Oryzias latipes: one gene and its partners. The protein of the gene in region 3 interacts with the protein of the main gene of each other region in a pairwise test. Links are inferred from orthologs where the notes say so. Each region holds a gene or a part of one and is shown on either strand. Other genes may lie near its edges.

Region 1 (3,500 bases), on a different chromosome or scaffold from region 3:
TGGCTGGTTTGTAATAGAGGAATTGATTGACATCCTCTGAACTGTTGATGATGGATTCCACAGTACCAATGTGTTTTGAGAAAGATAAATGACATAAATGTACATTTGACCAAAGCTAACATTTTTTTCTTCCTTATGTAAATGATAAATGAAACCATAGATAGATAAAAACTTGACATTAATTTTCTACCTGCTGTGTTGCTGACATGTCCTGTTGGTGATTCATGTTGAAAGAATCGTGTCACACCTTGGAAGTCTTGGCAACAAAGAAGTTGTTGCTCAGCAACAATTACCGGTAGCCGAAAGATCTTTTTGCTTTGATTTAGCAACAATTACGGAAGTTTATTTTTAAAGTAAAATTAAAAAGGACCAGACAGATTATTAGTTCTACAAATTTTGGTAGAAAACAACTGTCTTTACATTTTAAATCTCAAATAATATATGATATTGATTGGTTTATTGATGTCTTGTCAACTATTTATCTGTAAATGTAAATTGTATTGACTTAAATGGTTAGTTGTATTATGAAGTATGTTATCAATATGTTAATATCTTACTTTTTTCAAACGTATTTTTTGTAATGTTGGTCTGTTTCGTTTTATCGCCTAATGTCTGAACTTGTCTTACAGTCATCAGATTGCACGGTTGTCATGCTAGCATAGTTTGTAATGAGTTCTGCAGAGTTGACTGCAGTTCCACAGACATTTACACTCCGCCAGGCTCCATACTAGGCCTGCACAATGTATCGCATATTTGTCGTTATCGCAATATCAAGCTGTGCAATATGCATATCGCAAAAGGCGGCAAAAATCGCAATAAATGGTTACATTAAATATGCTAAAACAATCTTATGGATGCTTGAAGTATTTCACGAAACAAACAAATCCCTTTTTGTATTTGACCAATCGAATGGACTCCTTTACATCATAGACCAATCGGATGGAGTTCTATCATGTTAAATGTTCGTTTGTAGAACGATGTAGATGTGGGTCATTTGGAATGCAATTTTTAAACTGTTGCAGTGAAATGAAAATGATGTTTTTGGTTATTTTGCTACATGTTCATATAGATCGTCATTGCAATATTAATCACTAATATTGCATATTGCAAGTTTTCCTCATATCGTGCAGCCCTACTCCATACTAACAGTTTCTTTCGTTTTTTTTGGGCTGGTCATTTTTCAGTTAACATACTTGATGTTCTTGACAGTTCTGTCAGTGCTTTTTAAATTAGTGGCTTGTATGCATTGGCAGGCGTTTCATTAACTTCAAGCTTTTGCTTTCTAGGCAAATCGTGGCTCGCGGCCTACTTGATGTGCTTCGAGAGTTCAGTGAGAATGAAAATGACTTTATCAGTGTTATGGAGACTGTTGCCAGAATGTCAGAGGATGGAGGTAGATGCTTTTACGTTCTTGTGATGGTCTTTAGCTGGGGTTTGCTCGTGTTCCCTTTCCTCATGAACTGTCATGTGTTCTCAGAGCCCACAGTGCGAGCTGAGCTAATGGAGCAGGTTCCTAACATCGCCATGTTTTTGCACGAGAGTCGGCCAAACTTCCCAGCCGCTTTTTCAAGATATTTGGTACCTATTGTGGTCCGATATCTAACTGATCCAAATAACCAGGTAGGGATTATCGGTAGTCTGTTTTGTATTTTTTTATAGTTGAAATAAATGATCTTTTGGAGCAGTTGAATATTTTTCTCTCTTTTATTTGCATGAACTTGCTTCCTTCATGTTTTTCAGGTGCGTAAAACAAGTCAGGCAGCCCTGCTTGTTCTGTTGGAGCAGGGCCTAATCTCCAAAGCCGACATGGAGACCAAAGTTTGTCCAGTTCTTCTTGACCTGACAGAACCCGCCAGTGATGATGACTACAAAATTGAGGCAGTTGCTGTAAGAATCCCCACAGCTATTCATATATGTGATGCTCAGATTTCTTACTTTGTTGTTTAATTATCATTGCCATGTATTCACTATTAAAAGATCCAAAATGCATTCATCGCTGGTTCTAGTTTCATGTGCTTACAGTGCTCTCTGCTGTAAGAGCATTTGTGCTGGTTTCAGTGTTTAGGTGCAGCACAGTCTGAAGCTGTGATGGCACAACATCATCTGCATATTTCGTTGTTACAGATCTTGTGTAAAGTTGTAACTATGTTGAGCAAAGACACAGTGGAGCATCTGTTGCTGCCCCGTTTTTGTGACCTGTGCAGTGATGGTAGACTCTTTCAAGTGCGGAAGGTAAGTCTTCACCACAACACACTTTTCAGTATCTGCATTGTTTTCTAAATTCTTTTTTTTTGTTTTTTCTGGTGTGTTACAGGTGTGTGCGGCTAACTTTGGTGAGTTTTGTTCCATTGTTGGACAGGAAGCAACAGAAAAACTACTGGTGAGACTAAATAACTTTTTTTTTCCCCATTTGATTTTAACATAATAGCTTTCTGTTTTATTTATTTTTTTATTATCAGAGATGTTTTAATAAATCATCTTTAACACTTGTTTTTTAAAGCTGCTAAAAGGTCAATTCATGTTTGAGGTTTCCATTAGGAAGTTGCTTCTTACTTTGTCCTCTGATGGGGGTTCTGCTTTTGTCCTAAATATAGATGCCCAAGTTCTTCGAGCTATGTTCAGACAGCCTTTGGGGCATAAGGAAAGCTTGCGCCGAGTGCTTCATGATGGTTTCCAATTCCACTTCTCCAGAAGTCCGACGATCGAAATTGTCGCCTTTGTTCATCAACCTCATTAGTGACCAGTCCCGCTGGGTAAGGTGCACTCAAAACAAAAAAAGTTTCTCTCATGTTAGCTAGTAAACTGTATGGACCTTTTTAGCATCCCCTGACATAAAAATAACCACTCTGAATAATTTAAAACTACAGTTGTTGTTGTTAGTTTTTCTCTTGTGTATAAATTTTCAGGGATTTAACTTACTTAGTAAAAAGGGCCACAAATGTGTTGTTTGGGACTTGTGGCTAAAAAAGTATTAAATTAAAGATTGACATGATGGAGGACATATGTAAAGAAAATTAAGCTTAAAATTTCATGTCTAAATATTTGTTTATTCAAATCGTTGTGAATCAGAAGCAGGCACAAAAATGTCATTGGGTGTGACATAGAAGCTACTGCAGCAGGCCGCAAGCTCTCTGCTCTGCTCCATTCTGATGCATATGCTTGTTGACAGACAGATCCTTGTTTTCCTCGTCTGAGCTACTATCTGCTCCAACTGTACGACTGGAAAACTCCAATATTGCTTGCCTTTTTTGTTGCACCACTAATGTTAGGTTGGGGTTGTGTGGGACTGTAAGCTAGTGGGAGAACATATAAATAGATGTGTAATGGGAAGGGGGTGGGCTTTCTCTACACCAACGGTCCCTCCCACAACTCAGAGGTTGATATGTAACGGATTACTGATGCTCTAAAGAAACTATGTCCTAAAAAAATGACACATTTTTTAAATTTCATCTAAAACAGTCATAATTCTAATTAAAAGACCACTGAGAACACTTCTAAAA
Region 2 (3,500 bases), on a different chromosome or scaffold from region 3:
AAACTAGCAGGAAATTAAAGGGTGAGATCATCATACAAGAGCCTCTGTAGATGTTCTCCACATTTAAAAAAAGAATATTATTAGTCAGTTTAGCTTACACGTCTGAAAATGCAAAAAGAAGAAAGTGATTTACTTTATTAACATCAAATTTTCCACTTTGCTCCCCTCTGGTGTCATTTCAGGATATTTTAGCTTTTAACAAACATTAAACTCTAGCTTCTCCTTTGCAGCCGAGCAGCTTGTGTTGTGCAATTGTCATGTCATTCTAGCAAATACCAGGTGCACTGAACTCCTGTGGTGCAGCATGAGTCTCAAGACACGAGGAGTGAAGACAAAACACATCTGCAGTGGGAAGAACCTTTTGTTTCACATACTTTGAATGCAACTTCAACTTTTAGGATGTAACTCTGGATGCATGAAGTCATAAAAACTACTCAGTTGGAATTATTAGGTCATCAGAAGCTTTCTTTTTTTAAGGTAATGGGTCCCTGACAGTTTACAACTCTCTTCATGGGAAAGAAAATCTCTGTAGAAACTTTATCTGACTTTAAATTGTGAGTAGGTTTGTAGTTTGAAAGAAAACCAGCAAGTGTTTTTGATAAACAGACCTAAGCAAAAGTCATTTATTTTAACTTAATTTGAGAGTTTATCTAAATGTAACCAAATCAAAGCTTGATTGTCAAATATTCTTTGAACAAGATCCTTGACTGGAAAATTTGCATGAAGTGTCTGCAATAAAATGAATCTTGCAGGAAAAATGCTGGAGTTCAGCTGAAAGAGCATTAGGGAAAATGTTTAGATCTGACAGCAGGTTCTATGGATAAACTCCTTTGTTTGAGTCATCCATATGTTTCTAAATCATAGCTAAGCGGTTTGGGATTTTTTTTCCACTGAGCAGAGCAGGTCATAGGATGAGTGCAGTGTGATTTGAATTAGCAGTGAGCATCCAGTGAGACTTTGTTTCCGTTCAGCGGAACTAAGAGTGATCTGGAAGATGCTCAAAAATGTGCACTTACTCCTTCACTGTCTGTTTCTTTTTTGACTAACACTTGAAGGAATTTATGTCACAAAGTCCCACCACACAAGACAGTCATTGTCTTTTTGTCAAACATGCTAAATCCTATTTCATTGTATTAGTTTTTCCAGTGAATATGCTTGGATGTACAGTTCCAGTTGAAATAAAAAAGAGCTAAATGAGAGTCGAGTGTGCAAAAATGCAGGATGTAAGAGATTCTTTAGCCCTCTAAGGAAACAAAAGCTCTGCAGTACATACCGAATTGTGAGTCTTGGCAGTGATTGTACGAACAGAGTCTGTGTCCCAGATGATCAGGTCGGCATCGGAGCCCACAGCAATCCGACCCTTGCGAGGGTACAGATTCAGGATCTTGGCGGCATTGGTGCTGGTGATGGCCACAAACATGTTTTCATCCATTTTACCTGTGGTCTAGAAGCAGAACAAGACTATTTAAAAGATTAGTACTCACAAGTAAAAAGAAAACTCAAAAACATTTCCCTATTAATATTTATTAATGCTTCAGCTAAAATAGTAACAGATGGAGGGATCAGTGGAGAAGAGAGAACAACAAAGTCACCAACGTACATTTGCAGACAGTTTATTCAGGGGACAAAAATTACTGCAAACTATAAAAGAGACGTTCTGCAAAACATCCCAAAATATATATCTCCCAAAATAACACCATCAATGCACCACCATGAGAAACTGTCTGTATTTGACATTCTAGATTTCTCTCTGTTACCAAGACAAGACTTGCTGCAAAGGAGAAATACTGCCAATACAATTCATCCTGTAATTATTCATGTCCCTGAGAGACAGAGTCTGGAAGTTCATTTTTATTCATCCAGAAAGTTGTTTTTTCCCCTGGCAATAGTTTACATTTAAACAAAAAGGAACATCTCCAGATTTTACTGGGGGTATGAACAATTTTCAGCTTGACTGTATATTCATGATTGATTTATTTTCTATTAAGTTATTTTAAGTTTCATTTTTGTGTTAAATTTTAAGTTCATAGTCTAGGTCGACAGTGACAACAAAACAACCTTCCACTTGCCTCTGGTGGAAGGTTGGCGCCAGTGTTCGGCAGCGGTGCCGCCATCAGTGTGTGAATGTGTGTGTGACTAAGTGAATGGGTTTGTGACTGTAAAGCACTTTGGGCCTTCGAGGAAGGTAGAAAGTGTTATACAAGTATTACCATTTACAAATAAAGGCATGTATATCTATCTATTAAAGACCTACTCTGATGTTTTTTGGTGTTTTTAACATGTTCTTGTGGCATTTTTCTAATGATGGAGGACATAGAAACCCAATTTTAAGCTTAAAATTCTTATGAGTATTTCTTTATTCAAATCCTTGTTAATCAGGAGCAGATGAAAACAAGCTGTTTGAAGAAAAACAGTAGCAGTGATGCAGGTGCTACAGTCGGTGGGCCACTGCCTTTCTAATGTATCCACTTGTAGACAAAAAGATCTATGTCCGTCTTTGTTTTCCTCATCCGAGCTGGCATCAGGCTCAAAACGGTTGATAGTGCCGATCTTGCTCGCTATTTTTGTTGCACTGGTAATGTTAGGCTGGGATTGTGAGGGGCTGTAAGCTAGTGAGGGAAACAGAAAGCTCAGTAATGGGGAGGAGAAGGGGGTGGGGGTTGCTCCAGACCAGCAGTCGCACCCAGAATTTAAATTTCTAATGAACCATGTCCTAGAAAACAGATTTTTTTTTATTTTGCCAAAAAACAGCATAATCGTAATTTAAAAGACCAAATGATGATTTGCATGGGACTTTAAGTCATCAGTATAGAAAAGTTTAAAAAACTGAAAAGCGATAACCCGACTACCCCTCACCACTGCTTTGTCCCAGATGAGAGCCATCCTTTCCTCCACACCATTAACACCTTCAGGGATCTGAGTGAAGTCATCTTTGCCAATGGCCTTCTGGGCCACGCTGAAGGTGCAGTGAGCGCTTCCAGTCACGCTCAGGTCTCCGCTGTAGGAAAACGTCAAAGAAAGATGGAGTTAGTGTAACGCTGAAAAGTTTGTGTATGTGAATAAAACTCTGCCAACATGAGGGAATGTGTTTATTTCATTCAGCTGGAGAAGTCAAGCAGAAAAGAACAGAAAGAAGCTGGAGCAAGCAGCCTGCCAAAGTTTGTTCTTCCAGGACAAAACATTATGAATGTTTCCTGAATGACACAATAACTCTATTTCCAGATGAAGAGCGCGAACAGAATTTTTTTGCAAATCAGTAAATCACAATGCATTTCCATGAGTCCTATTAAAAAAAAGAAATAGAATTAAAATTTGTGCAAAAAGTTGAGATATAAATATTTTAATAATATATGTTATGCTAAGTCAAAACAATTCTGATAGAAGTTTTCTTTACTTATGAGGTTATGTCTACAGTTCTGCATGGAAGTATATTTCCCCATAACATAAAGTTTAGCAATAATGCAAGTATCAAACTGAAATCAATTGCATCATCAACTTAA
Region 3 (3,500 bases):
AAACAAAAACCATTTAGAGACTGATGTTTGGCTGGAAGTGGATCATGACAGCGCTCCGGATCAAAGTGTTGCTCTGACCCAGTCACAGTCCTGACCTGACCCGGAGTGACACGTGGCCTCAGACGACCCGTTCAAACAAACGCCTGCAAGCCTCAGTGAGGTTGGTTCAAAAACCGTTTTTAGCTGCAGGTCTTTTATCATATGTAACATGTTTGGATTGTGCCATGTTGTTAAATAACGCAGTAGAGCCCAAAGATCACGAGTGTTAAACAGATGAATGTTTGAATCTTGACGGTCCTTTGACAGCTGGGATTTCTGTCATAATCGCTCTGCAAACACTTCCTTCCACTCCGACAACTTTAATGGGAAAATCTATAAACACACGCAATGGTGAAATAATGGCATGCAAGCAAAACGTTCCTCATAAAACGCTTGATTCAGAGGGTTAAAACGTTGTGTTTGGCGTTCACCTGCGTCGTAGTCGTCGTCCAGAACGGCTTTCTGCTGGAGCCTCTGCAGCTTCAACATCATGGACTCGATCTGAGGCGGAGAGAAGAGACGGAGACATCAGCCCACAGGACGCCGCCCACAGGGAACGGGACAAGTACAATGACCGTCATTCTGTCAGAAAGTTCTGCTGCTTTTGGAGATTTTAACTTATGAACATAACTTTATGCTCTGCTCCATTCTCTTTTTTTTTAAATCAAAAGTGTGATTTTTTTTTTAACTTTCTTCCAGTTTTTAACACAGATTTTGAAAATAACTTAAATGTGTTTAATTAATGACAAATGGTCCAAACCTTTAATTTTATAAACGTTTGTGTTTTATTTTGAAAGCCAGACCATGACCTTTGTTGCTCATCATTCCATTTCCTGTCGGGCTTAGCTTTGAACAAGATATTTAAGGTGGTTGTTTCTAAATGTTGTCATGACCTTCACATCCATCTGACCTGAGCCATCACGGACCGAAAGATTCAAAACTTTAACTATCTGCGTCCCACAGCCGTTCTGGACTGAAGGACCAGATTGTTTCTGCAATTTTTCCTATTTACTGCATCTTTGAAGAAAAGTTTTCGCTGAGCTGAACAAAACTATATGACATACGATACAAACATATCAGGAATGTGGGCGTGGCTAACAAAATACCTCTGTTGCCAAGGAAACCCAAAAATTTACTTTTAGCGATCCTTCTAAAATGCACATCGACCTGTTCCTCCCCCCCGGACGATCAAATAACTAAATGGTTGCTATGGAGATGAAACAAATAGAAAAGCCGCCATTTTTGAAAAAAAGTGCTTTTTTCTTCTTCTCACATGCAAGTTTGACTAGGCTGGCAGAGGCATGAAAGGAGAGGGAGGGGCTTGTAGCAGCCACTCAGCCAATGAGGGAGGGCTAAACCATACTACACCACTCGCGGCTTTAAATGTAATTGCTTTTTCTCTTTAGCGCACTTTAGCGCCATGATTTATTTGATTTAATGATCTGAAACAGTCTACAGAACATGAGTTCTCCCTCAGCAATGACAGCACTTTAAAGTGAATGTGTTTGAAGTCTCTGCCCCCCTCAAGAGGATCCGCTATGCCCACCTTTGTGTAGGCGCGGTTGTTTCGGAGGCAGGCCTGCAGCACGCCCTCGTACTTCTTCACCACGCCGTCCCAGCCCGACTCCAAGCCCGCTGTGGCGCTCTCGTAACCGGAGGTGAAAGAGGAGGCTGAGGCCGTGTCTGAATCCACCGACAGCGAGGAGGTGACCTCCACGTCCAGAGGACGGGGCTCGCAGTCCAGAAGGTGGGAGGTCTCCTCTTTACCGTAACACTGACTTTCCCGCCAGAGCCTCCCTCCTGACGGCAGGTCCTCCTTCTGTGCGTGGCCGGGTGAAGAGTGGACAGGAAGCGAGAGCTTTAAGAAGTTCTGCTGGGAGTCAGGTTTGGGTTGTGGTCCTTCGGGGGCTTTGGTAGGTGGTTCTGGTTCCTGTAGTGGTGCAGCTGAAGAACCGGTCCTCTGACTGGAGCTGAGCGATTGCTGAATGAAACTGAAACTGGACGTGAAAGAGTCTTCTGCTGAGGTCTGGGGAGCCGGCCTCAGCCTTAAGCTGAGCTCATCATGAGGCTCTGAGGTCAGACCCAGATGGTTGGATGTTGCTGGAGCAGGATGGATGTCTGCAGCCGGGCCGAGGACGCCCTCACTCCTCAAACCCGTTGGTTTATTAACCATTAAAGCAGGAGCTGGACTCAGTCTTTGAGCTGGAGGGCCATGGGTGACGGCGGTGCTGCATCCACAGTTTCCATTCCCAAAGCAGCCGCTTATCGCCTCTTCCTCCTCCTCCTCCTCCTCCTCCTCTTCCTCCTCGGTACCTGCAGAGCTCAGCAGCCTGGACTGCTCTCCTCTCATGTAGCCTGGCTTTCGGTGATGCCTCTTTCGCCCAGAGCTGCCAGCTGTCGCCAACGCTCTGCCACCTGTTGATACAGAGATTAGGCGTTAAGCTCCGCGACAGGAGGAAGATGAAGAGTGAGCTCACGGGCGGGAAACGCTGGATCTGCAATGAAAGGAGAGTTTAATAAAAGACAGTAAGAAAAAAGCATTTCAGTCAAGTAATAGCAAATTTCTTCAAGAAGCTGGAACAAACAAGCAGCCATCACCTCCCAACTCCTTGAGCGTCATCGGGAAGCTTCACGGGGGAAAAAATGTTGGTTTTAAAGTTTGTGTTAGCGTGGCGAGGTCACAAATTTGGCGTTCCCCTGTTGATCGCATATTTTTTACCGAAATATTCTAAAGATTTTAGACAAATGGTCATTGGCTAAAGCTGAACGAAACAATATTTAATACCTTACGAATATATGAGGAATGTGGGCGTGGTTAACCAAAAACTTCAGTTGCCAAGGAAATCCGAAAAAGTACTTTTGCTGATACTTCAAAAAATATTACACAGACCTGTTTGTCAACCCTAGGCGACCAAAAACGTAAATGGTTGCTACGGAGATAAAACTAACAGATAAGCCGCCATTTTGAAAGAAAACGCGAATTTGTCCCATGCAGCTCTGACCAGGGTGGTGGAGGCAAAAGGGGGAGATTGAGGGGCGTACAGCAACCGTTCAGCCAGTGAGGGTGGGTCAAAGGGGGTAATAGGGGGCGGCGGGGGCAGGTAACAGGCAAACAACATCACTCCCACCTTTAATATTTTGTTTACACCTTCTTTTTCTTCCGGTGGAAACATTTTGACCTATTGATAAATTCTAATTTTACCCCACAAATCTCCTTACATATTTTTTTCAGAATGTCAGTCGGCATTGTTCTATTTAGTCTACAGTCATGGACACAAATTTTAGTTTTCTCAGAGTTAATAGAATTCCAAGCACTTCATACATTTCAAAGGCTTTTATGGACAATTCCATGACATTTATGCAAAGAGTCAGTATTTGCAGTCTTGGCCCTTCTTTTCAGGACCTCTGTACTCCCACTGGGCATGCTGTCAATCAACTTCTGGCCCAAATCCTGACTGATA
Region 4 (3,500 bases), on a different chromosome or scaffold from region 3:
AGTGAAACTGCACTCACTGAGCCTTTTCACATAGATGACATTGACAAATGGGGCTGCAGATTGGAAAATGAGACAAAAGGAAAAACAGTGAATAAAACCCATTATCGTTGACTTTTTTTTCTTTTTGTGAAAGAGTGGAAGTGTGCAGGAAAAGGGTGGGGCTGTCAGCAGAAGATGCAGAAAGACGGACATTACAATTCCTTTCAAGGACGGAGCCGTGCAGCTATCTGACAACTTCAGGAAACAATTTCATCTGGCAAGACACTGCAGGGGCAGTCGTGTCAGTCGGGCCGAGGGGAAGACAATTATGATACACCCCCATTTGAGCAGTATCAAAAGCTATGTTTCAACTTCATAGCAGTCATACCGGAAAAATGAATAACATCAAAGATAAGCAAGTCTATCTGACAACTCATAATAAATGACTTTGTTGGTGCTCAGCTTGGTTAGCCATACATCCTAGGAAGCTGCTCTCTTGTGCTTTTCATTTAAGTAACGGTTTACATACATAGAAGAATGTAGATGAAAAGAACCGGCACCTCCGTGTCTAAATCAGCATTTTCTGTGCTTATTGTGCTAATTTCTCACACCTGCCCCTGGGAAGCTTTTTGATTAGCAGCTCCACTGCTGTTGCTCCACTTGCAGCAGTTTATCTCCATAAATGATTGCTGATAAATGCTCCAGAGGCTGATGCTGAGAGCATCTGAGATTTAAATGCACGACTTAAAGAGCCTCAGTTTGAGATGATGTGCAGGGCTGATCTTTGTTCCTATCATGCGCAGCAGTTTGACAGGATATCCTATTTGTGAACACGTTTCTGAAAATAAAAAGCACGTGTGACATTTAAATGTTTGCTTAAAGCATTTATAGGTGCCACGAGTGTCGTCTGCAGAAGCAAGACTTTATAGGAATTATTTCTACAACCAAACTACATTTTCCTCTAAATCCATTTAAAGCTAATATAAAAGCCCAGCGCGTGGCACTAACTGACACATTCCTTCATTAACTGAGACAGCAGAGTTTATTTTATCCAGCTAGTTGCAGTTGTTTCTATGGCACTGCAGATCCGCCGATTCTGACCTTGGCCTCGTGGATACCATCAGGCGCATATTAAATGTGGCAAAAGTGATCTGAATGTGACCCAGACGCTGCACATTAGTGCTGGTCAGCTCTGCATTAAATGACAAATAGGCAAACACAGGAGATCCAAAACAGCTTTTGTGAGAAATTACTTTTCATAGACAGAATTTGGATCCAGTACCTCTTAGTTTTGTTAGCTGAATTAAATTAAAAAAGCATGCATTATCAGTGTACTGCATGAGCATGTGTACATGAGTGATTTTTCATAGTTTTTGTTTTGTGTTTATAAAATAGGAAAAAGACAGAGGTAGGGATAAAGCTGCAGGCATCAATCATTTTTTCTGTCTCTGTTCTCATCAGGTGGCTTTAAGAACTTTGCAGAAGACAGAGATTAATGCCCAACAGTTCCCTAATGTCAAATCAATTTTAATTCAGCAGTAGCTTTAAGTCGCACCAGTGAAGGCAGCCAGCAGGGCTTCCAGACTCACCATGATGTGGATTTCAAGCAGGTAAACAGCCATTTTTATGCAATCTTGTAGTAACTACGAGTAATAAATTGTAACAATATTTTAGTTTTTCCATGAACATCCCATGTTTGGAAATTTTCTAATTACTGATTAAAATAAAATTTCGTCAGTTGTAGGAATGTTTTCTAAGCATTCTGCAAATATTTCAAGGCACCACAATTTCTTTCTTTTTTCTTTTCTTTTAAGGAATTAGCCTGACCTTTAGCTTAGACAACTCAGTATATGAAAGCATTTTTCTTTTCTTGGACCATTGGTTGTCTACTGAAGTATAGACCCATGGAAATATTGGAGGAAATGACTTCAGGCACCACCGATGGAAATGTATGTAGGACAGGAAGGAAATGGTCTAAAAAAGAATCTAGATTTTGGGGGGAAAGAACATATCAAAGGAGACTTTATTTTGTATTTTCAAAAAATGCACAAAAGTGTAGCCTTCACTTAAAGTATGCGAGAATCAGGACTTAAATTTGTGCGGTTGATGCAGCAGATTAAAATTCTTTTCCTGGTATGCTGTCTGTTATGTTTTTCTGAGTTTTGCTTTCAAGAAAACTGTAATGAGATCATGTATCTGCGTTTATGGAGAAAGTTGAGTGAATCTGACAAAAGACCTTCTAAAAATATGAATGTTGTCTTCTTTTCTTCTTTTTTTTTTAAAATGGGAGCCTTTTTACTTTATGTGAATCATCACAGCTGCTTAAAAATCAGTAGGTGACAGAATCAAGTAAAAAATAAGAAACTTCCAAAAATCCTCCTGATGAGGAAAGTATCATGTACTGATTTAAATTCATCTACAAAGATAAATTAATTGGGTAAAATGGTGCACGAGGTTATGTCTGACCTGCTGGAGAGGTTGAGCAGTTCGTGCTTGTCTGCAACGGTGGACTTGTCTTCCAGCTCCCACATCAGCACGTTGATGAGGTGGGAGTTTTTGATGACGATGGGCACCTCCTCAAACATGTTCTCAAAGCCAATGCTGGCCTTCTTCAAGCTGTAAACACAGAGAGAAAAGGAAAATGAAGCTGATGGTTGTGATCCTAACATGGGTCACCCAGCACTAACAGATTATGAATTCAGATCCTGGATTCTGTTTATCTGTCGGTTAATGTATTTTAATGGATCTTTCATTCTTCTCCATCAACACTGGAAAAATCTGGTTAGACAGCTCAACATAACAGTCCACTTTCAGAGGACGTGTTCCCTTCAAAAACAGAAAATGAGTTGTTTCTTTCCAAGAGGACAGATGGCTTAAATGAAGCAGCTAGAATGAGAACACATGAGTGTCAGTGGTGAAAATGAAAGAAATTAGGTTAAATCAATTAAAAAAAAGATGAAAGTAAAGTTCAGAAAAACACAGGCAGAGTGGTGCAACAGTTAAAGTCCCACTCCAATCATCTTTTGATCTATTGTAAAAGCATTCCCGGTGGTCTTTGAATTATGATTATGCCGTTTTAAGCCAAAATCAAAAAACCTGTGTCATTTTCTAGGAATGTTTCTGCAGAGCTGCAAGAGTTTATTAGAAATTCACCTCTGAGTTGTTCTTTTAGCGTGGACCAACCCCGCCCCCACTTCCTGTCACCTATAACTGAGCTCTCTGTTAACACGCTCTCCTGCAAGCTTGCAGCTCCTCACACTCCCAATCTAAAATTACCAGTGCAACAAAAATGCAGAGAAATATCGGAGCAATCCAGTCATACAGTTTTGAGCCAGATGCCAACTCAGACGAGGAAAATAAAGATGTACATGGATCTAGTCGTCTGCCAGTGGATGCATCAGAAGGGCAGGAAGCTTGTGGCCCGCCCAGTGTATTTTCTATGCAACTAAAACTTTTTCAAACAGCGTTTTTTGTGTCTGTGCCTGATTCCCAAGGATTTAAATAAAAAAATACTCAGAAAT
Region 5 (3,500 bases), about 13 Mb from region 3:
CTTTGTCTCACGCTGACTACAGCAATAAAAGAGGAGAAAGGAGAGGGAGGACAGAGAGGGGGATAGGAGGATAAAAGCAAAGCTGTAAATCCAGTCACCCCTGCACTGTCTTCTCTTTTCCTGTCTTCGACACTCAAACGCCCCTCGCTAAGAAAGTCTCCCAGCTATTTTCAGAGACATAAGACTCTCCTGTGTTCCCTGAGCAAAATAAATCGAAGTTTTTGTCACCAACAAAGAGTGGGGAATTTATTTCTCAGTGACTTGAACTCAAGCTGAAGCAAATTAGAGAATGAAAGCTAACTGGAAACTCGTGGCATAGAAACGATCTCATTAAATCCTGAAAATATCTAGATTTTATTTCCTGCAGACTTAATAATGAAACGGGTTCTGTTTTTGTATTAAAATTTGATTCCTTCTATAAGATTGTAAAACCGTGAAAAATAGATGACTCTGCAAGTTCATCTAAGGTTCTTTGAGCCTTCTGCAACTGGAGGAAACAATTCCCAACTTTAATAATAAAATAAACAACTGTTCCACAGTTATAATTCTGTTATAATTTTGATCATTTTATTTTAATTTATTTATTTTATTTATTCATTTATTTTTCACTTTATTTTAAAATTATCTATTTTTTTTGTTTACAGCTGGAGCGACTGGAGAGTGAGCTGATGGCAGATAGAGAGTCTCTCCGGAGCGCAGAGACGCTCAGCATGGACCTGATGAAGGAGAAAGCTTTACTAGAGAAGACTCTAGAAACTCTAAGAGAAAACTCTGAGAGACAGGTACAAACACACCTATTTATTCAGAAATTGTAATTCATAGATTATCAAAGTTATGCTCATTATATCAGTACTTTTTAAAAAGTATTTGCCAAATATAGGACACCCTCCACGATGATCCAAAATTCATTTTTTCATAACTGATTATATACAAACATTTGTACTCAAAGCTCAGTGTAATTTATTGAAGTTTGAGTTTAACTGAGAAAAGTCTTGTTATTGATTTGCTTTTGGCTCAGCGTATTATCTAGTGTTTGCTGTCATTAATGTTTTATTGACTGTGAAGCAGTCTGTGGCCCAGAGGCAGCCGCTCACTTTGTGTCTGTGGAGACTTTGTAGCTGTTAGACCCAAATCTGACACCTTTGATTAGTCTAACCATCTGATTTGTTAAATCCGGCTTTGATGAGCTTGAGAGAGAAAGAAAACAGATCTGCCCTCTCGGATTACTTCAGGAGTTGCCATCAGGCTGGTTGTCACCGCATGGAGATCTGAGATAACCTCCTGGTTTATTGTTATGAAGCTGATCTAAAAAAAATCCCTTCTGCTCTCTTTCATTGTGCGTGTTATGAAGTACAAGTAGTCACGTGAATCAGTTTCCTTCAACACGCAGCTGCTTGTTTAAACACAGCTTCAGGTGATGATTTAAACCTCTGCTGTCTGCTCTCCAGCTGAAGGGTTTGGAGCAGGAAAACAAGCACCTGAGCCAGACTATGTCATCCCTGCGTCAGCGCTCCCAGGTCGGAGCGGAGGCCCGGGTCAAGGATGTTGAGAAAGAAAATCGAGTTCTTCATGAGTCAATCTGCGAGACGACAGCCAAACTGAATAAAATAGAGTTTGAAAGGAAGCAGCTACGTGAGTGATATCTAGTCTGTCTGAGGAATACTTTCAGCAATAATTCAAAAACAGTTTTTTTGTTTTGTGAGACTAAGACATTTTTTTATGCAGGTAAGGATCTTGAAATGATGAAAGACAAAGGTGAAAGAGCAGAGGAGCTGGAGATTCAGATCCAGAAACTGGAGAGGGACAACGAGAGCCTTCTAAAAAAAGTTGCCAGCCTTGGAATCACCTGTGAAAAGGTCTGGTTTTTAATATTTCTTTTTCCTGTTTTTGTCATTAGATGTGTGACAGTAATTAAAAAAAAGTTTATAATATAATCATTCAGCAGTCTAAATTATTTGGCTTGAAGATGATTACCGGTACTTGTAGGTATCATCTTTGGAGAAGGAGAACACTGAACTAGAAGCTGAGGGCCGCCGTCTCAAAAAGAAACTGGATGCTCTGAAGAACGTAGCTTTCCAGCTAGAGGCTCTGGAAAAGGAAAACTCTCAGTTGGAACAGGAAAACCTGGAGCTCCGGCGCTCAGCTGAGAGCCTGCGGTCAGCGGGGGCCAAAGCTGCTCAGCTTGAAGCCGAGAACAGGGAGCTGGAAAGCGAGAAGAGCCAGCTGAAGCGCAACTTGGAGCTGCTCAAAGCCTCTTCTAAGAAGACTGAGAGGTTAGAGGTAAGCCAAGCCAGACAAGAGGTGCTTTTGCTGACGGAGTCCTCAGACCTGCTTAAATACAGCTGTGTAAATAACAAAAAGGGGCCTAAAAATAAAGTGTGTCTAATTCATACGTCTAAAGAGATGCTGTGGTCTTCCTGGGTTATGCTTACCAAAATAAGGGTTTATTTTCTCTACTAAACATTGTGAAAAATTTCCATTTAGAAATATTTCCACTGAGGTAGCACTAAACTGCTTCTGGAATATGGGGCCACTAGGGACCAGCACAAGTAGACCATGGAGAACTTTATTTTCTAATCTGGCTGTTCTCCTCCCAGGTGAGCTACCAGGGCCTAGATACGGAGAACCAGCGCCTGCAGAAAGCTCTAGAGAACAGCAGCAAGAAGATCCAGCAGCTGGAGGCTGAACTGCAAGACGTGGAAACGGAGAATCAGACGCTCCAGCGAAACCTGGAGGAACTCAAGATCTCCAGCAAACGACTTGAGCAGCTCGAACAAGAGGTAAGTTTACGTTCAGAAAAGGAAAAAAATGTCTTATTCTTCTGCCTTACGGAAACATGTAGTTTTGCTTGACAACTTGTGTTGTTTTTTTCTTCTGAATGGTTTTATTGTGAGGATAATGAGAGCAGTTTAGTAATTAAAGTTGAGACAGACTAAAAACTGCTTTGATGATCATTTAAAAACAAATCTTAAACAAAAGAAAAAGTTAAGAAGATAATATTTAAGAAGTGTTAGCAGAAGTGGCAAATCAGTTTAACTTCATTTTGATGATTTTACAGCCAATTTTTCCCTGCAGAGATGGATTATCCCAGATTATTTTGGGGTTTTTTGGCTTTTGATTTAAACCTTGCTCACTTTAGCCAAACATCCATGTACAAGCCATTTAGACCATAAGTAATCCCATCCGATGCTGTTTTACCCATCTGTGCTTCATTACATGCCGTCCTTCCCCAGAACAAGAATCTGGAACAGGAAAGCTCCCAGCTGGAGAAAGACAAAAAGCTTCTGGAGAAGGAGAACAAGCGGCTGAGGCAGCAGGCTGAGATCCGGGATTCCAAGTTGGAAGACTGCAACCACAGAATCTCCTCTCTTGAAAAAGAGAATCGAACCATGGGCAAGGAGATGATTTTCTTCAAGGACTCCTGCACAAGAGTCAAAGAGCTGGAGAAAGAGAACAAGGAGCTGGTCAAACTGACCAATATTGATAAGAAGACACTGATG
Region 6 (3,500 bases), on a different chromosome or scaffold from region 3:
GGAAATTCCACTGATCCTCCTCTGGGTCGAAGGTCAGCCTGTTCATGATCTTATTCTTCTCCTCCGGAGGAATAAAATTCTCAATGATGAGATACCTGTGCAGACATGATGCAGCTTTAATGTGGCGAGACAGCAGCCTAAAAATATCAAACCAAAGAGCAGCATAGAGACAAACAGATGAATTATGAAGAATAGAATAAACTAAATATTGAGTTTGCTTACGGTACTAAATGTTAGTTGATGAATGTAACATTTATAAATACGTGAATGAAAATGTGAAAATATGTATCGGAAAAATGAAACCTGGTTTTTTTCTTCTAAAACAGGCTAAATAACCAAAAATATTGCTGGTTAGCACTCTTGCCTCACAGCAAGAATGTCCCCGGTTCAAGTCCCGCCAGGGGGACCTGAAACAGAATGGGGGACGTTGCATGTTTCTCTCCCTGCATGCGTTGGTTTTCTCCGGGGTTCATTGATTACCCTAAATTGTTCCTAGGTGTGAGTGTGTGATTTATGTGGACTGTCCCCTGCCTTCGCCCAAGAGTGGCTCCAGCGGCTACGGGACCCCGAAAGGGACAAAACAGGTTTAAGAGATGAATGAATGTTTTGCTGTTAATATCTGACTTTGTCACTTTACAAAAGGCAGCCCATAGCCCCACCCCTTCACGTTTGGTATGATTGAAAAGCCCAAAATGTCCTCTGTAGATACCAAAAGGAGTTCATTCAGTGGTATGCAGTTGTTGGGAGGGATTCATGTTTAGAAATATCCTCCACACCAGGGGTCCCCCAAATCCAGGCCAGTGTCCGACATGTTTTCTAACCCACCGGCTACTGAAGCTCCTTGTTGGCTAAACACCCCTGATCCAGGTAATCAGCAGCAAATAGGGCAGTGATTCTGGAAAACAGGACACCGGCCCTCAAGGCCTGGATTTGGGGACCCCTGCTCTGCACAGAACAGATTTACACTGCTGTGTGTGAGGTGAGAGAGCAGGTGGAAGAAGATAAACCGAGAAGCTGAGACGTGCTGGTGCCTGCACTTCCTCGGGACGCTGTTGTGACTCACTTGAACTTGAGCTCTCTGGTCAGCTCGTTTTGAGTCTGCTCCAGCTCCTGCCGGCTCCCCACATGCTCGTCGTTCATGTCCTTGATTTCCGCCTTGATGCACTGCAGCTTGGAGTACAGCTGCAGGAACACAAACAGTCAGCGGCTGAGAGGAGCCAAGCTTCTCAGTTTGGGGTATCTGCTGGTGCACTCGTCTCCAGATTGCAGCAGCTTGGTTGCCCATAGCAACAGCACTGGGGGCACTGGTATCTGGAGAGCTGGCCAGCCAATGGGAGCACGCCAAGTCCGCCCCCCACCCTCAATTTGGTTCATTCCTCTACTTCTCTGCTGCACCCCTTAGCCCCCACATTGTTCTGTATAACTTCAGCCTGAAAATCAGCCGCTCAGCCTGACTTTTAACCCCGAAACTGCAGTGAAGATGCATTTTATTGCAATGTGGACGACATTCTGCAAATATTTTAAACACAAAAACACTGAAAATAGAGATTTTCATGTAAACAAACCACAACGCGAGTCACTGAGTCGAGTGAAAGGATGTGTACACATCTGTTGGACTCACACATATGACCTCAAAGGAGTCAAACAGATGTGTAATTTAGATTTTTTTGTCTGAAATATGTTAGAACACAAATTTATCATGGTAAATTTTCAGACTTTGATACAGTATTTGCCTTAGTCTTCTACTTTACAAATCTCTTAAAGTTTTTAAAGCAAATTTTGAATTTTACTTAGGTATTTTAAATAAACATTGTGTAATTAGATTTTTTAAAACAGTTTTGTCAAAGTTGAGTTTTCATAGATGATCCTAAAATGTTCTGTGAAAGACGTACATTTTCTGTTATAATGCTTTGTGTGGTGGTCACTTAATTTTGTCTTCTAAATATCTTCAAGTTTCTCCAGCGAACTGAGCATTAAATTAGTATTTCAGTATTAAATTAGTATTTTAGCATTGCTGCCTCTTGTACAAACTATTTTAAGCTGACCATAAGTAAACAAAGCAGATATATAACTTTTTGAAAAAGATCTTGTTCACTGTTTTTTCCCCTATTTTTACTTTTTATGTTGCCATACAGTGGGGAAAAAAAGTATTTAGTCAGTCACCGATTGTGCAAGTTCTCCCACTTAAAAAGATGGGAGAGGCCTGTAATTTTCATCATAGCTTTACAGACCATAAAAACAAAGACGCACGTGGATCTATTTATTCTTTTTTTGTGGCCCGCCGAGAGTATTGTCTACGTAGCAAATACTATCTTATTCAAACAGTATTTTGTTGTCTGCTGATTCTGGTTCTGAAAATATCTGATCCTTATTCACAAGATTTGAACAAAGAAATACTCACAAATGCTATTTTAGGCCTAATTATCTTTAAATATCTCCTCCATCATGAGAAAAATGCCACAAGAACAAGATAAACACCAAAAACACAATTTTCAACTGAGTGGGTCTTTCATTCAGTATTTTAGTCTTTTTTCACACTGCTAGGAATAAATACTCTTTATGTAAACGAAGATCACAACTTTTCCAAAATAATATGAAATGGAGATAAAGCCAAGGACTCAGCCATAGGAAGTAAATACTTTTCCACACACTGCTTCTTCATTTTGGTTCAATTTATGTGAAACTGGTCATTTAAAGTAAATGTAAATATTGTCATCTAATGTGAATGTAATTTTTCTAAAAAATAGGTTACTTTATTGTTAGGAATAATTAGAAACAGAATAGTTAGAAACTCACTTTTACTTTTTATTACACTGATGGTTTAAACTTTGATTCACTATGTATTATCATCTCAAAATTATATTACAAGGCACAATCAAGACTATTGTCTCGTAACATTCCTTCAGCATCCTCCCCTTCCATCTTTGTGTGTGCTGGTGTGTGCGCTCTGCTAAATGTCTGTGATAACCTCAGAGAGATCTGACACTTTAAGCTCTCTGACCTTCGAACATCTAGCCTGCAACTGGGGGTGGATTTTTCACACCACCATCCATCGGATGATGTTCTGAATATGCAAATGCAGGACTTATATACCAAGCCCATTTTCCTGTTTTCTTTGTTCAGACTTTGAGCTCCGTTGTTCGGACTTTGATGCAGTAACCTGTTCATCTGTCTGTAACCCTTTGTACAAATCTGTGCCTTTTGTGCGGAGTAAATCTTCACTGAAGCTAAGTATTGTCTCTGAGTCATTATTCATTCATTTCTGTGTTCAAGAAATTGACAGGGTACGGACCTAATAATTTTATCAATACAGTCCAATCTAGCAGAGCCAGTTTCTTCACACTTATTTTGAAAGCTAGTAGACCCACCTTCTTGAGCTTTTTGGTCTTTGCCTCAACTTCCTGTTGTAGAGACGTGAACGTCTCCCTGAGCTCCACCGTCTCCTCATCCTGGACCAGCATCTGCTGCTGGATTTCCCTCTCCTTGCGAGTCTGACAACA
Region 7 (3,951 bases), on a different chromosome or scaffold from region 3:
TTACCCATTGCACAGATTTTTAAGGTTATTTAATCTTTGTCATTGTGTGTGTTGTGACAGGAATCAATCTGTAAACTATTTTGAAAACTTTCTGGTGGCGAAGACTTTTTCTGACCAAGGTAGCTTTTATTAAAGGTCATAGGATGCCCAAAACCAGAACTATTCAGACCCTAAATAAACATGCAAACAGTTGGATTTTTGACAAGCAGACGAACCTTAAACTTATTATTTTCTATGCACTGCGACTAGAACAAAAGGTAATCAATAAACTTTATTGATTTATGAGGCTTTATTAAGTTTCAATACTACGCCAGTGAAATTCACTGTTATCAGCCAATCAATATGCAATAAATATACATTAAAATTATAGTGAATAACTTCATATGACTTAAAGTAAGTTGGTTAAGAAGCAATATCTTCTAAGAACTGACAAACAGATCATGATGATCATGCACTGACTCAGTCAGAAATTAATAACACAAACAATGCGTTACTCGTGTTTTCTGTTGTCATTAACACCTCTGTGGTATTAGGTGCGGCTATAAAAAAAACGAAAAACAAACCAAAAAAAAGTTGGAAAAACCCACAATCGATTGACAGATGTTAAAAGGCACAACACTCTGTTAGCTAGGTTCAGCATAAATGAATCTGTTAGCTTAACATTCGTGTGCAAACACAAGCTAATGTTGACCACATAAGACATACCTCCTAAAAAAACAATAGTGGATACCATAATATATTACTAAATTGCAATAAAAATAAAAACACAAGAAGTATCTTCAATAAGTCAAGAAATTATTGTAAACACACATACCTTAAATTATGTGGCTTATGAAGAGCACTCCGAAGACCATTGAGAATGGCGCATGCATTATGCGTCATAGGGTTGTGTCAGTCTGGGAAATGTAGTCTAATGGAAATATAAAATATAGATCATTTAGCAAACCAATATACACATAGAAATCAGAGCAGTCTATATATCTCTATTAGTGTATTGTATTAACTACTTAGTCTTTATTTTTCAGTAAAAAAAGAGAAAGTAATTTCAATGGTCTTTTCTCAAATGCGTTCTGCAAAGGTTGCGATGTATAAATAAAGTTAGACAAAATGTTCGAAGCGCTTTACCGGAAGTAGCCCGTTCTTGCTCGTGCGCTTTACAAATCGCCACAGATCCGGATAATGACGAGCCAGCCTGACAGTTTACTCATCACAACATTACCAACAGGGCGTTTCAAGCAATGTTTAGAAGCAGTAGCTGCAACACTTATCTTGGAATGGGTCCACCCTGATCGTAACAGCATTTCCCTTTCATTCAGGTTCGTTCCGTTGTGATATTTTTAAGCACAATATTGCGTAGACGATACATTTCTTTGGCTAAGGTTGCTTTGTGCTCTATATTTAGCTTTAGCCTAAAAGACCCGTTAGCCTGCGGCCGTAATGACTGTCTAGCAGGTGCAGTGTCCACTAGCCTTTTCTTGATCATCTGATTTAAAAGTATAATATGTATATTAAAAAAAAAAATAGTAACAATGAAGCATATGATATCTGAGTTTTTTTGTTTGTTTGTAATAGCATCATATAGTTAGTTAACGGACAGGAATGTTTTTAATGCATTTTTGGAATGTGGAAAAAGAGCTGCAATTCTAGATACCACTTTAGAGTTCAAATCTGTGCTGGAAAAGCTTTCTAACTGATTGTACATCAGCGTGGCCTTATCTTGGAGCTGAACCTGTACCCCAACAGCTCACACAAATAAAAGGGTGACCTGCCCAGTGCTACTAGATGAGTAGTCTGTTGCCCTCTTAGTCAGCAAGCGTCTGAAAAGTCTGAATCGTTTCTTGTAAGGTTAAACATATTTATGGTAAATTTGTGACATTTGTATCCAAAAATTATACACAACAGGGCCATGAAAAGAAGACACAAACTGGGTTGTCTGCCTCATAATCTTATCTCTCCTGATAGTTGCTCTTGTTTTGACTGTCTGCTCTAATCTTAATAGCTATACTACTATAAACTACTGATATTGTTTTGTGGCAAAATGACAGGACGTTTATTAATGCATGCTTTCTATTCCAAACCTGATCTTAAGTTATAGCTCGTTTTCATCTGGACATCCGAGACCTTGGACGAGCTCATTGTTATAAAGTCAGTCATGAAGCACTCTTTGTGTGAGATTAGCTCCTTTCCTGCACTGTCAACATTAGCCATCTGGCGGGTGCAGTTTCCATACTGTAAAATAGCCTGGCTACATAATTTGTGTCTGTGCACAGATGGGAAACTTGCAGGAAAAAAACAACAACAATATTTTATATATCCTTTTGTCTCTGTGTTTTGCCTTTATCACCTAACCATTCAATGTAACAACATCAAATTATAGGTATATAACTACAACCAAAATGTTAATATATCTTTGTAAGAAATTTTTTTGCAGGAAACCTCAAATGTAGGAAAAGATTACTTTTGCATACCCAATTACACACAGGTCACCAAATATCTGAAGCATATTTATAGATCATTGCATTCAAAGCTTGGGACAGTTAAGCTTTACTGCCAGCAGGTTTAGGCTTAGTCAGATGTCTGGCTATGGCCGGAGTGCGGTTTGGAACTTCTTTAACAAGTGGGGGGTAAAAAAAAAAGGTTAACAAGGCTTGTTTGTGAATGCTAAAGATTGTGTTGTCTTTCTCGTACAGGCAACATGACATTTTGAGCTGGTGAAAATGAACAAACCCAAGATGGCCTCGGAAAAAGGGTGAGTTGATGCATACAGGCACATGGAGGTGTGAGTGTTTGTGCATATTAAAAGATATACCCACTTTTTTGACCTATCTTTTTCTCTATATAAGGGCTTGATCCTTTCTGCTCAGCTAGGTACTGGCAGAGTTTGTATTCTCTGTCTAGCGCTTGCCCTTGTCGTAACAACTGACCCGTAATCTCCTGTTTCCACTGGACTGTCAGGAAGCTAATATTATTAGCAAAGGATGGGTCACCGAACCAGAAATAGTGAAGCCATGGGACCTTAACCTTAGCAGTCAGTTTACAAGAAACAAATCTTTTAAGTTAGACTTCATTTCTTTTTGCACACAATTGATTCATTGACCTTCCAGTCCCTGTGTTTATGGGGCTGTCTGAAAATGAGGGGGCCTCACACCCCTCATCGAATAAAAGCAATCCGTCCTTTTCTGGACACGAGGTGCATTCCCTCTCTAGCTATGCTATTATATAACTTCTTATGAAGATAATTGTGTCTAAATGCTCATTCTTCCAGCGTTCCCAGTAACTCCAGTCTTCTCACGCTTCTGGACCAAATAGAGAGGATGAATGGGGAGGCCATGCTCAGGGATACTGAACTGGCCAGACATGTCACGGCAAAAATCCTTCATCTCATCCAGACACAAGGTGAGAACATGAGCAGAAATACTAAGGTGCATGTGAGGAGATTCACAAAAAGTAAAAAAAAAAAAAAATTCCTATCGATTGGAATGAAGTTAAATTGTGGTCTCAACTTAAGCTTATGTAAAAGAAATATTGATAAGAGGACTTTATTTTGTAGTTCTAAAAAGTATTTGCAGTATTAAAATATATTTTAAGTATTAAAATGTATTAGTATTTTATTCTCTCTTGTTTTCTGGCAATGGTGTTATAGAGGGTTTATATTACGGTAAATGTAGAATATTTTCTACAAATGAAATGAAGATCTGATCAATTGGCAGTATTTCTGATTTGTGAAATTTTAGCTTGTTTATTCATTTCAGAAATAAATTACAAAATCATACATTTATTATTTGTCTTTTACATTTTTTTTACTGTTAAAAATAAAAACTTACGAACAACATTTTTTCTAAGGCTGAAAAATGTGGTTTAATAAAGACAAAAGTATATATATATATATATATATATATATATATATATATATATATATATATATATATATATATATATATATATATATAT

What was found.
Region 1: the proteins of disc1 (region 3) and ppp4r1 interact in a two-hybrid assay, tested with the Homo sapiens proteins (2 studies listed by BioGRID and IntAct). The link is inferred for Oryzias latipes from reciprocal best matches to the Homo sapiens genes DISC1 and PPP4R1.
Region 2: the proteins of disc1 (region 3) and dihydropyrimidinase-related protein 3 interact in a two-hybrid assay, tested with the Homo sapiens proteins (2 studies listed by BioGRID and IntAct). The link is inferred for Oryzias latipes from reciprocal best matches to the Homo sapiens genes DISC1 and DPYSL3.
Region 4: the proteins of disc1 (region 3) and eif3h interact in binary tests that used the Homo sapiens proteins (3 or more experiments, as listed by UniProt). The link is inferred for Oryzias latipes from reciprocal best matches to the Homo sapiens genes DISC1 and EIF3H.
Region 5: the proteins of disc1 (region 3) and ccdc88a interact in a two-hybrid assay, tested with the Homo sapiens proteins (2 studies listed by BioGRID and IntAct). The link is inferred for Oryzias latipes from reciprocal best matches to the Homo sapiens genes DISC1 and CCDC88A.
Region 6: the proteins of disc1 (region 3) and kinesin-like protein KIF3C interact in binary tests that used the Homo sapiens proteins (3 or more experiments, as listed by UniProt). The link is inferred for Oryzias latipes from reciprocal best matches to the Homo sapiens genes DISC1 and KIF3C.
Region 7: the proteins of disc1 (region 3) and agtpbp1 interact in a two-hybrid assay, tested with the Homo sapiens proteins (2 studies listed by BioGRID and IntAct). The link is inferred for Oryzias latipes from reciprocal best matches to the Homo sapiens genes DISC1 and AGTPBP1.

The regions. Positions count from the first base shown.
Region 1 is NC_019863.2:13,845,844-13,849,343, forward strand, and holds part of ppp4r1 (serine/threonine-protein phosphatase 4 regulatory subunit 1), read left to right. Parts: intron 1-1,286; coding exon 1,287-1,393; intron 1,394-1,477; coding exon 1,478-1,620; intron 1,621-1,740; coding exon 1,741-1,887; intron 1,888-2,124; coding exon 2,125-2,232; intron 2,233-2,314; coding exon 2,315-2,380; intron 2,381-2,594; coding exon 2,595-2,753; intron 2,754-3,500. UniProt on the Homo sapiens protein: Regulatory subunit of serine/threonine-protein phosphatase 4. May play a role in regulation of cell division in renal glomeruli. The PPP4C-PPP4R1 PP4 complex may play a role in dephosphorylation and regulation of HDAC3.
Region 2 is NC_019872.2:5,631,665-5,635,164, reverse strand, and holds part of dihydropyrimidinase-related protein 3, read right to left. Parts: intron 2,999-3,500; coding exon 2,857-2,998; intron 1,445-2,856; coding exon 1,274-1,444; intron 1-1,273.
Region 3 is NC_019873.2:28,418,275-28,421,774, reverse strand, and holds part of disc1 (disrupted in schizophrenia 1 protein), read right to left. Parts: intron 2,455-3,500; coding exon 1,586-2,454; intron 541-1,585; coding exon 471-540; intron 1-470. UniProt on the Homo sapiens protein: Involved in the regulation of multiple aspects of embryonic and adult neurogenesis. Required for neural progenitor proliferation in the ventrical/subventrical zone during embryonic brain development and in the adult dentate gyrus of the hippocampus.
Region 4 is NC_019874.2:13,853,647-13,857,146, forward strand, and holds part of eif3h (eukaryotic translation initiation factor 3 subunit H), read right to left. Parts: intron 2,596-3,500; coding exon 2,446-2,595; intron 1-2,445.
Region 5 is NC_019873.2:15,842,598-15,846,097, reverse strand, and holds part of ccdc88a (girdin), read left to right. Parts: intron 1-644; coding exon 645-782; intron 783-1,448; coding exon 1,449-1,632; intron 1,633-1,725; coding exon 1,726-1,856; intron 1,857-1,986; coding exon 1,987-2,280; intron 2,281-2,597; coding exon 2,598-2,780; intron 2,781-3,233; coding exon 3,234-3,500. UniProt on the Homo sapiens protein: Bifunctional modulator of guanine nucleotide-binding proteins (G proteins). Acts as a non-receptor guanine nucleotide exchange factor which binds to and activates guanine nucleotide-binding protein G(i) alpha subunits.
Region 6 is NC_019882.2:17,758,973-17,762,472, reverse strand, and holds part of kinesin-like protein KIF3C, read right to left. Parts: intron 3,492-3,500; coding exon 3,369-3,491; intron 1,183-3,368; coding exon 1,064-1,182; intron 96-1,063; coding exon 1-95.
Region 7 is NC_019867.2:10,962,960-10,966,910, reverse strand, and holds the start of agtpbp1 (cytosolic carboxypeptidase 1), read left to right. Parts: upstream 1-1,151; 5' UTR 1,152-1,316; intron 1,317-2,690; 5' UTR 2,691-2,717; coding exon 2,718-2,749; intron 2,750-3,265; coding exon 3,266-3,396; intron 3,397-3,951. UniProt on the Homo sapiens protein: Metallocarboxypeptidase that mediates protein deglutamylation of tubulin and non-tubulin target proteins.